Macaca mulatta: one gene and its partner. The protein of the gene in region 2 purifies or fractionates together with the protein of the main gene of each other region. This does not show direct contact. Links are inferred from orthologs where the notes say so. Each region holds a gene or a part of one and is shown on either strand. Other genes may lie near its edges.

Region 1 (4,380 bases), on a different chromosome or scaffold from region 2:
AACTTGAATTGGAAAATCACGCCCATATTTCCATTCACCTCTAGCTAAATATGTTTTATTTCCTTCAATTACAAATGGGTTAGGTGCTCACAGTGGCATAAGTATCTGTGACTTCACCAGCAAGAGAAATATTTTTTCCCACCACGGTGCAGTTAAGCATCTTGAAATGCTGTTTACCCTTGTCACCACTTCAAAATTACATTAATAATTACACTGGATGGTGTAAATCAATATGTTAATTTATTAAAAGTACATATGACTACATCACCACTTCTAAAAACATGTTTATATCTGTAGTGCAACGTAAGTGGTTTCTTTTGTAATTCTACGTGTTCTATGCATTTGAAAACATAACTATGAGAAGGGGTCTATTGGTATCAGATGATCATAGCACACAGAATTTAAGAACCCTGACCTACTGACAGGTGGAGGCACAAAAATGATTTTAAGACAGCACATTGCCTACATCATGTGAGTTAAGATATAGCTAACTGCTTACGCTGTTGATAGTGGGGTTATTAGTTTGCATTTCGCTGCTAAGCCATGCTACCTGTGTGCCTGGAACAAAGAGGAAGCTCCAGAGAGTTGCTAAAAGAAAGGACAAACTGGGGTAGAGTTCCTGCAACAGCAGTTTGACTACTCCATTGATTCTACCAGCAGCCTAACTGTGGCTCAGTTTCTCCTCTCTGGAGAATAGGAGTAACTATTGTTTACCCCGTGACACTGGAAAAACACACAGGAAAAAAACATTAATTTGTGTGAAAAATTAAGCTTAAGCTCTTTGAAAGACATACTTTTTTATTTTCCACGTGTATCCTTAAACAATAGTTCTAGTGGTCTTAATTTTACTAACACGGTGTCCACATCAGAAGCTTGAATCCCATTCCCAGTTCAGCTGTCCACAATGGGCCACAAGGAAGAAAGAAGCATCAGAGGAAAGGAAATACAGCTCTATTTCGCCCGGGAAATGGGTGAACTTAAAGATCAGTGCATATTGCTTGGATTTGTTTGTAAATATGTTCACGTATGTGTAATGTCTGGACAATGAAAATCCATCGCTTTCATCAGCTTCTCAAAGAGGACTCCAAAGAAGACCTACTCTAGAGAAACGTGCTCCTGAAAAACTGTAAACAAACTGTAAAATATTCAAATTTCTTTTTTACAAGACCCTCACATGTAAACCAGAACCCCTTCCCTACAGCAAACTGTGGGTCACAGATAATAAAACAGGCCTGTGCAACACCTCACAGCTAGTCAATAACCAGACAGGACCCACTCCTAGACCACCTGGCTTTTTCCCCCCTGCATGAGCCTTGTCACTGAACAGTTTTCTTCTTCTTCTTCTTTTTTTTTTTTTTTTTGTATTTTAGTAGACAGCGTTTCATCTTGTTACCCAGCCTGGTCGCAAACTCCTGAGCTCAGGTAATCTGCCTGCCTCGGCCTCCCAAAGTGCTGGGATTACAGGCGTGAACCACCGCGCCCAGCCAGTTTTACTCTTCTTAAATCTGATGCTCATGGCATAAGGCAGTAGTGGCTTTAAATATCACTAGCCACAGCTTTCAGTTGCTCTGATCGCTATCATTCAACTTTAATTGAGTAAAAGGAAGAAAGCAAAGAAAATGCTTCCAACTGACTTATTCAGCTTTCAAAGATGAGTTTATGTTGCAATGCCAGTTTAAAAGCTCCCCTACGACACCGTGCTTCTATAAAGGATTCTCAAATTGATGAATGTCCAGCAAGATCTACTACTAAAGGTCACACAACTGTACTAGCATGAAACAAGCCAAAAGATAAGGCCCTGTCATCCTGTGTTCAGGAAACAACCGCGGGATCATGCCACAGGCCAAGATTTCCAAAGAGATTGCTTTAGAGAGAATGGTTATCAGGAAGCAAGAGCAACAGTAATTCTGGCAGAAGGGCTAGGATCCACACCCGGGGTGTGGGAGTAGGGGGCGGGGAAGCTTGTACAACAGATCGTCTTAATAGAAATCTAGTGTGGCCAAGAGTGCACGACCGCGAATAGAAGCGTCTGCATTTTCCTTCACAACTACCACTCCCTCTTCCCTTCCCCGCCCACCAACGAAAAAAATGCGGCAGGAGTGGAGAGCACGGGAGGAATAAATGGAGTATCTTTGGGGCGTAAACCCGGTTTTAAGACCTGTTTCCACCACGAAATAGCTGCCTGACCCAGGCAAGTCACAAAACCGTGACTCAGTTTCCCCACTACACTGCCGACTACACAAGAATGCTGCCGGGATTAAATGAGACAGACAACGAGTACGAAACCTTCAGCACAGGGCCAGACATTGGAACCGCTCCATGGCCCTAAGGCGAGTCCGCAGGAGGGTTCTGGGGCCTGGGCTCCGGCCCGGAAAGGGCGCTCCCGGGGCCCGCTCCCCGCCAGCTGGGTTCCGAGGCCCTGCCTGGCCCACCTTGTTGTTGTACTCCTCCACGAAGCTGCCCAGCGCCAAGCGAAAGCGCTTATCGGGCCGCACACTCCAGTTCATCGCGTAGACCGTCCAGGGCGCTTCATACTTGTAGATCTCCTTCCGTTTGCCGTGCAGGGACATGGTGGCGGCGGGGCCGCAGTACGGGCCGGGTCAACAGTGGGCTGCGGCGGGCGGGGTGCGAGTCGGGCGGGGAGCCGGGCCTGAGATCTATGGGTCCGAAGGGAGGAGGGGCGGGGGCGGGCAGGAACGGCCTACCCCGGAAGCGGGGATGCGGCGACAAACAACGACAACGACCGAACCCGACCCCTAGTTTCAAACCAGCTTGGGCACCGACGACAACCACCTTCCGTTTCGGGACGCCGCCCCGCCCTCTCGGAACGGAAGCCACGGGACCCCTGCAGCGCCACCGGCCGTTGGTTGCCTGACACGTCCTTTCGAAAGGATTCTTTCTTCTCATTGGTTATTGCGGCCGTAGCGTGTGACATCTCCTCGTTATTGGGTTAAATGTTTGTCATTGCAACTACTCGCCCCGCCCAACTCTCGGAGGCAGGAGCTTTGGCAGCCCCAAAGATCATTGGCTGACCAAGATGTCAGTCAGGCAGATAACGGCGCAGTGCGGGTGGTGGGGGCGTGGGTGGCCGGGAGGCGAGCGTGCTGGAGTAGCGGGCCTCCAAGTTCTAGGCCAAGTCTCTGAGCGTGAAACTGTCTGTGACCTGCGCTGACTTCTCCTCTGCTGCTGCTGTTCTGAGCGGCCTTTCCATGCTGTCGAGTAAAAGTACAATTCTGCTTTAGCGGAAGACCTACTACTTTCGCGGGACCGAGCCCCGCGGCCTGGCAGCCTGGCCTATGCGCAACGGGTACCACCTTCCTGCCCCTTCTCTTCCCAAGGCCCCTTTAACCCGAAAGCTGCTGTCTTCGGGCCTCAGGGCCAGGCTTCAGGGGCGCAGATGCGCTCAGGGCCAGGCCAGCTTGAGTCAGGTCCTCCCGCGCTTTCCTGCAGGATCTAGAAATGTCCCCGAATTCTGGGGTAGACACCGACCTGACCAGCTTGGCTCTGTTTTTGTCGGTTCCCATCCTGTACCTTCCCCGCCGTGCATCCCAACGCAAATGCTAATCCAGCCCCAAAAGTATCTGTGCCTGTGAGTTTGAAAGGGAGAAGGGCCAGAGACCAAGTGACACCTTTATATAAATGGTTTCCAATTCTTAGCTTTCATCAAAATTGAAGGAGGTTTGTATTGAATTGTTGGATTATAACATTAAAGTTTTTTTTTTTTTTTTTTAAAGACAGGGTCTTGCCCTGTCACCCAGGCTGGAGTGCACTGGTGTGATAAGGGCTCACTGTAGCCTCGACTGCCTAGGCTCAAACGATTCCACTTTAGCCTCCAGAGCAGCTGGAACAACAGACTTTTGCCACCACACCTAGCTATTTTTAAATTATTTGTAGAGATGAGATCTCTCCATGTTGCCCAGGCTGATCTCGAACTTAGGCTCAAGCGACCCTCCCACATCAGCATCCAGAAGTTCCGGGATTACAGGCTTGAGCCACCATTCTGGGCGCTAAATATAATTTTTAGTGAAAATGATTTTTCCATCTCCCAGGTTTAAGTGATTCTCTTGCCTCAGCCTCCCGAGTAGCTGGGATTACAGGGGTGTACCACCACGGCCAGCTAATTTTTGTATTTTTAGTAGAGACAGGGTTTCACCATGTTGACCATGCTGGTGTCGAACTCCTGACCTCAAATGATCTGCCAGCCTTGGCCTCCCAAAGTGTTGGGATTATAGGCGTGAGCCACCACATCTGCCCAAGAAATCCCCCTTATTTTTTTATTTTATTTTATTTTTGAGACAGGGTCTCGCTGTGTTGCCCAGGCTCTAGTGCAGTGGCACTATCTTGGCTCACTGCAACCTCCGCCTTCAGGGTTCAAGTGAT
Region 2 (3,812 bases):
GTGATATATTATGTTGGGGTACATTTGTCAGCTTTTTAATAAATTAGTATTAAAAACGAATGAACTTTGCTGGGCATGGTGGTGCATGCCAATAGTTCCAGGTACTGGGAAGGCTGATAACAGGATGACTGTTTGAGCCCAGGAGTTTGAGACAGGCCTAGCTAATACAGCAAGACCTCGTCTATTAAAAAGAATGGTCTCTGAGCACAGACATCAGTGCAAAAGTAGTGAATGCAATCTAGAGTTGCATAAACAGCAGCTAAGGATGTAGTTGAGGAAACTGATGGTTCTGCTATAATCCAGGCCACTTAAAACAGGCTATTCTGGAAATGTTCATTCAAAAATCATCATAATGACATTAAAAAAAAACCTCTTTGATAGGCAGTTATTTAGAAATGTAATGGACACCCACCAAGGTAGCAATTACAGATGTCTAAGCACGAGCTGCTCACTAATGGTTAGGGGCAGCACAGATGAGACTCATGCAGTAAATAACCATTGGACTAGAGGACTTCTGAAGAGGGCAGGCAGCTAAGCCAAGGTTATTTCCACCTGTTACTGTATCCTTTATTAAACCTTTTCAGGTAATGATGACTATGTTATACAACTACAAAAAGGAAACACACGGGAAGAAAAGTCTTATTTTTACCTGGCCTACTCACCTAGCGATGCGATTATTGTCTGTCTTCCGGACTCTGCGGATGGCTGTGATATTGGCCCGCATGAGGTAGTGCTGAGCTAAATCTACAAATCCAAGAGTACAGATGTCAAACTGGGTTCTGAACTGGTTTTATAATCAAAGTACTCTAACCATCATGCTATTACGCCTCTGCCAAACATGAGGGGAAAAAACAAATCACCCACCCTCATCTACCTCAAAGGTAGGCTGGAAAAATTAACAAGTCCCACCTGAGATGCCCTTTTCGGTGATGACCACATCGGGTTTCAGTTGGATAATGTCCTCACAGAGCTGCTGGATGTACTCTTCTTCCATTTGGAGAATTCGGGTGAAGTCTTCCTCTCGTGTAATCTCAATGTCAGTCTATGTGGTAAAGGAAAGACACGATTTTAAAATCCCTGGACTGGTGAAGCTCTAAGGGTCCTACTATACTCCCTCCACCCACGTCTCCCACGTATCTCAGACTCAGAATTATGTTAAAGCCATGACCTCAATACCTCTGTAAGCCAATTTAGCTCTAGTTATATCATTATAAAACAACCAGAACTGAAAGTCACACAGCAATTAGTGTTGAGTCTGGCCTTTCTACTCTGACCACCCAGTCCAATCCTACATCTGTCCTGGCAATGTGCATGAAAATTCCAGGCCTTAATTCTTCCCACTAACTGATTCTTGTTCTTTCCAAATGTGATGGAGCCTTGTGAGCCTCCTGCACCCTAGATTTTTTTTTTTTTTTTTTTGAGACAGGTCTTACTGTTGCTCAGGCTGGAGTTCAGTGGTGTGATAACAGCTCCCTGCACCCTTGACCTTCTGGGTTCAAGAATCCTCTTGCTTCAGCCTCCTTAGTGGTGGGGACTACAGGCATGTGCCACCACGCCCAGTTAATTTTTTTAAATAAAGACAGTATTCGCCATGTTGCCTAGGCTGGTCTTGAACTCTTGGGCTCAAGCCATCCACCCACCTTAGCCTCCCAAAGTGCTAGGATTATAAGTGTGAGCCACTGCATCCAGCTGAAATTCTCCTTTAGTACTTCAAAGCTGAATTAACTCCTACCTTATGTTCCCCTGGTACATTAGGAAAGGTCGCATGATAGTATAAAACAAGCCAAACATGACCAGGTTCAAATCTTGATTTTGGCCAATACCAGCTGTATTCCTTGAGCAATTAACCTAACTTGTCTGAGCTTCAGATCCCTCATCTATAAAATGGAATCAATACCAACTAAAGGACTGTTCTAAGAGTCAGTGTACACTATGCACCCAGAAGGCATGCAGTAAACATACCTTTTATTTCTGTTGTTCATATTTGTAGTCAGATTCTTGCATCTACTTTAAGGAACAAGGCCAAGAACCTTACCTGGCTTTCTCCTTTCTTGTATTCCAGAGAAGAATCCAAAAGCACAATGCGAGGGTTCTTGATATAGCGCCGCATGCGTGGATGGGTCACATCCTTGTTAATCATGACTCCACGCAAGACACAGGAGTCTTCAATGATGCCCCCAGGTATCTGAACAAAAGACAACTGCACTTTATAATCCACAATCAAGAGACAATTTCTTAATTTCCTTCCCAGATGTTCATCTTTCCCAAATAGCCACTGTTTCAGGTTTCTAAAGTTCCTTTCTTTGATGAAGTTCAAAAATATGGTTGGAATCACGTTTTTTCCCCACTAGGAAATACACCAATTTTAGACCATGACACTCAACTTGAAGGTCAGCTGAGACCCACAGAAATTCAATGACTTGACAAAAGACTTAGAGGGGCTTATGAGTCAGGCACAATGGCTCACACCTAAAATCCCAGCTACTCAAGAGGCTCAGGCAGGAGGATCCCTCGAGGCTGGGAGTTCGAGACCAGCCTGGGCAACACATTGAGACCCAATTGCTATTTAAATAAATAAGGGCTTAGGTCTCTCCAATTAAAAAAAAAAAAAAAAAAAAGCTGCCAGAGAATTTTAGGCTTGGGGCTCCATCTACTGGCCACAAGCTATACTACTAAACTTTTTGATCTTAATGAAACTTAGTAGAGGAGAGAAAGCTTTCTGGGGCTTACCATTATAATAGTACTATATAATAGAGCCCTTGTTAAGCTTATATCCTGATCAAATGACTGATGTATGCAAATACACAAACATGGAGACACCAATAAGCCTGTCCCTTGTCCTTATAAACCTTGTGTAGGGATAGCAGTGAAGGTAACAACAAAATTATTTCAGGATGGTAGCCTCTTTAGGTTTTTGTTTCCAGGCAGCAAGTATAGTTCTTTCCCGTTTTTTTTTTTTTTTTTGAGACAGAGTCTTGCTCTGTTGCCCAGGCTAGAGTGCAGTGGCGCAATCTCAGCTCACTGCAAGCTCCGCCTCCTAGGTTCACGCCATTCTCCTGCCTCAGCCTCCAGAGTAGCTGGGACTACAGGCTCCCACTACCACGTCTGGCTGATTTTTTGTATTTTTTTTTTTTTTTTAGTAGAGATGGGGTTTCACTGTGTTAGCCAGGATGGTCTCGATCTCCTAACCGCATGATCCACCCACCTCAGTCTCCCAAAGTGCTGGGATTACAGGCGTGAGCCACCGCGCCCGGCCAATTCTTCCCAGTTCTAATTAAAGGTACCTTGTTCTGGCCAGGTGCAGTGGGTCACCCTGTAATCCCAGCACTTTGAGAGGCCAACATGGGCGGATCACCTCAGGTCAGGAGTTCAAGACCATCCTGGCTAACACAGTGAAACCCCGTCTCTGCTTAAAATACAGAAAGAAATTAGCTGGGTGTGGTGGCGGGCATCTGTAATCCCAGCTATTTTAAAGGCTGAGGCAGGAGAATAACTTGAACCTGGGAGGTGGAGGCTACAGTGAGCTGAGATTGCACCACTGCATTCTAGCCTCTGGGCGACAGAGCAAGACTCCATATCAAACAAACAAACATACCTAGCCCTGATTTAAAACTATTTCATTCAAGTAGGGTGCGATGGCTTATGCCTGTAATCCCAGCACTTTGGGAGCCTGAGGTGGGAGGATCACCTGAGGCCAGGAGTTCAAGACCAGCCTGGGCAACATGAGACCCTCATCTCCACAAAAAGAAAAAAAAAAATAGCTGGGCACAGTGGCATGTGCCTGTAGTCCTAGAAAATCAGTGGATTTGCTT

What was found.
Region 1: the proteins of CCT3 (region 2) and DCAF7 purify together in Homo sapiens (affinity purification with mass spectrometry; 4 studies listed by BioGRID and IntAct, counting the BioPlex papers as one, with this or other methods). This does not show direct contact. The link is inferred for Macaca mulatta from reciprocal best matches to the Homo sapiens genes CCT3 and DCAF7.

What each region holds. Positions count from the first base shown.
Region 1 is NC_133421.1:73,348,481-73,352,860, reverse strand, and holds the start of DCAF7 (DDB1- and CUL4-associated factor 7), read right to left. Parts: upstream 2,804-4,380; 5' UTR 2,571-2,803; coding exon 2,433-2,570; intron 1-2,432. UniProt on the Homo sapiens protein: Involved in craniofacial development. Acts upstream of the EDN1 pathway and is required for formation of the upper jaw equivalent, the palatoquadrate. The activity required for EDN1 pathway function differs between the first and second arches.
Region 2 is NC_133406.1:110,605,960-110,609,771, reverse strand, and holds part of CCT3 (T-complex protein 1 subunit gamma), read right to left. Parts: intron 2,186-3,812; coding exon 2,036-2,185; intron 1,043-2,035; coding exon 910-1,042; intron 745-909; coding exon 663-744; intron 1-662. UniProt on the Homo sapiens protein: Component of the chaperonin-containing T-complex (TRiC), a molecular chaperone complex that assists the folding of actin, tubulin and other proteins upon ATP hydrolysis.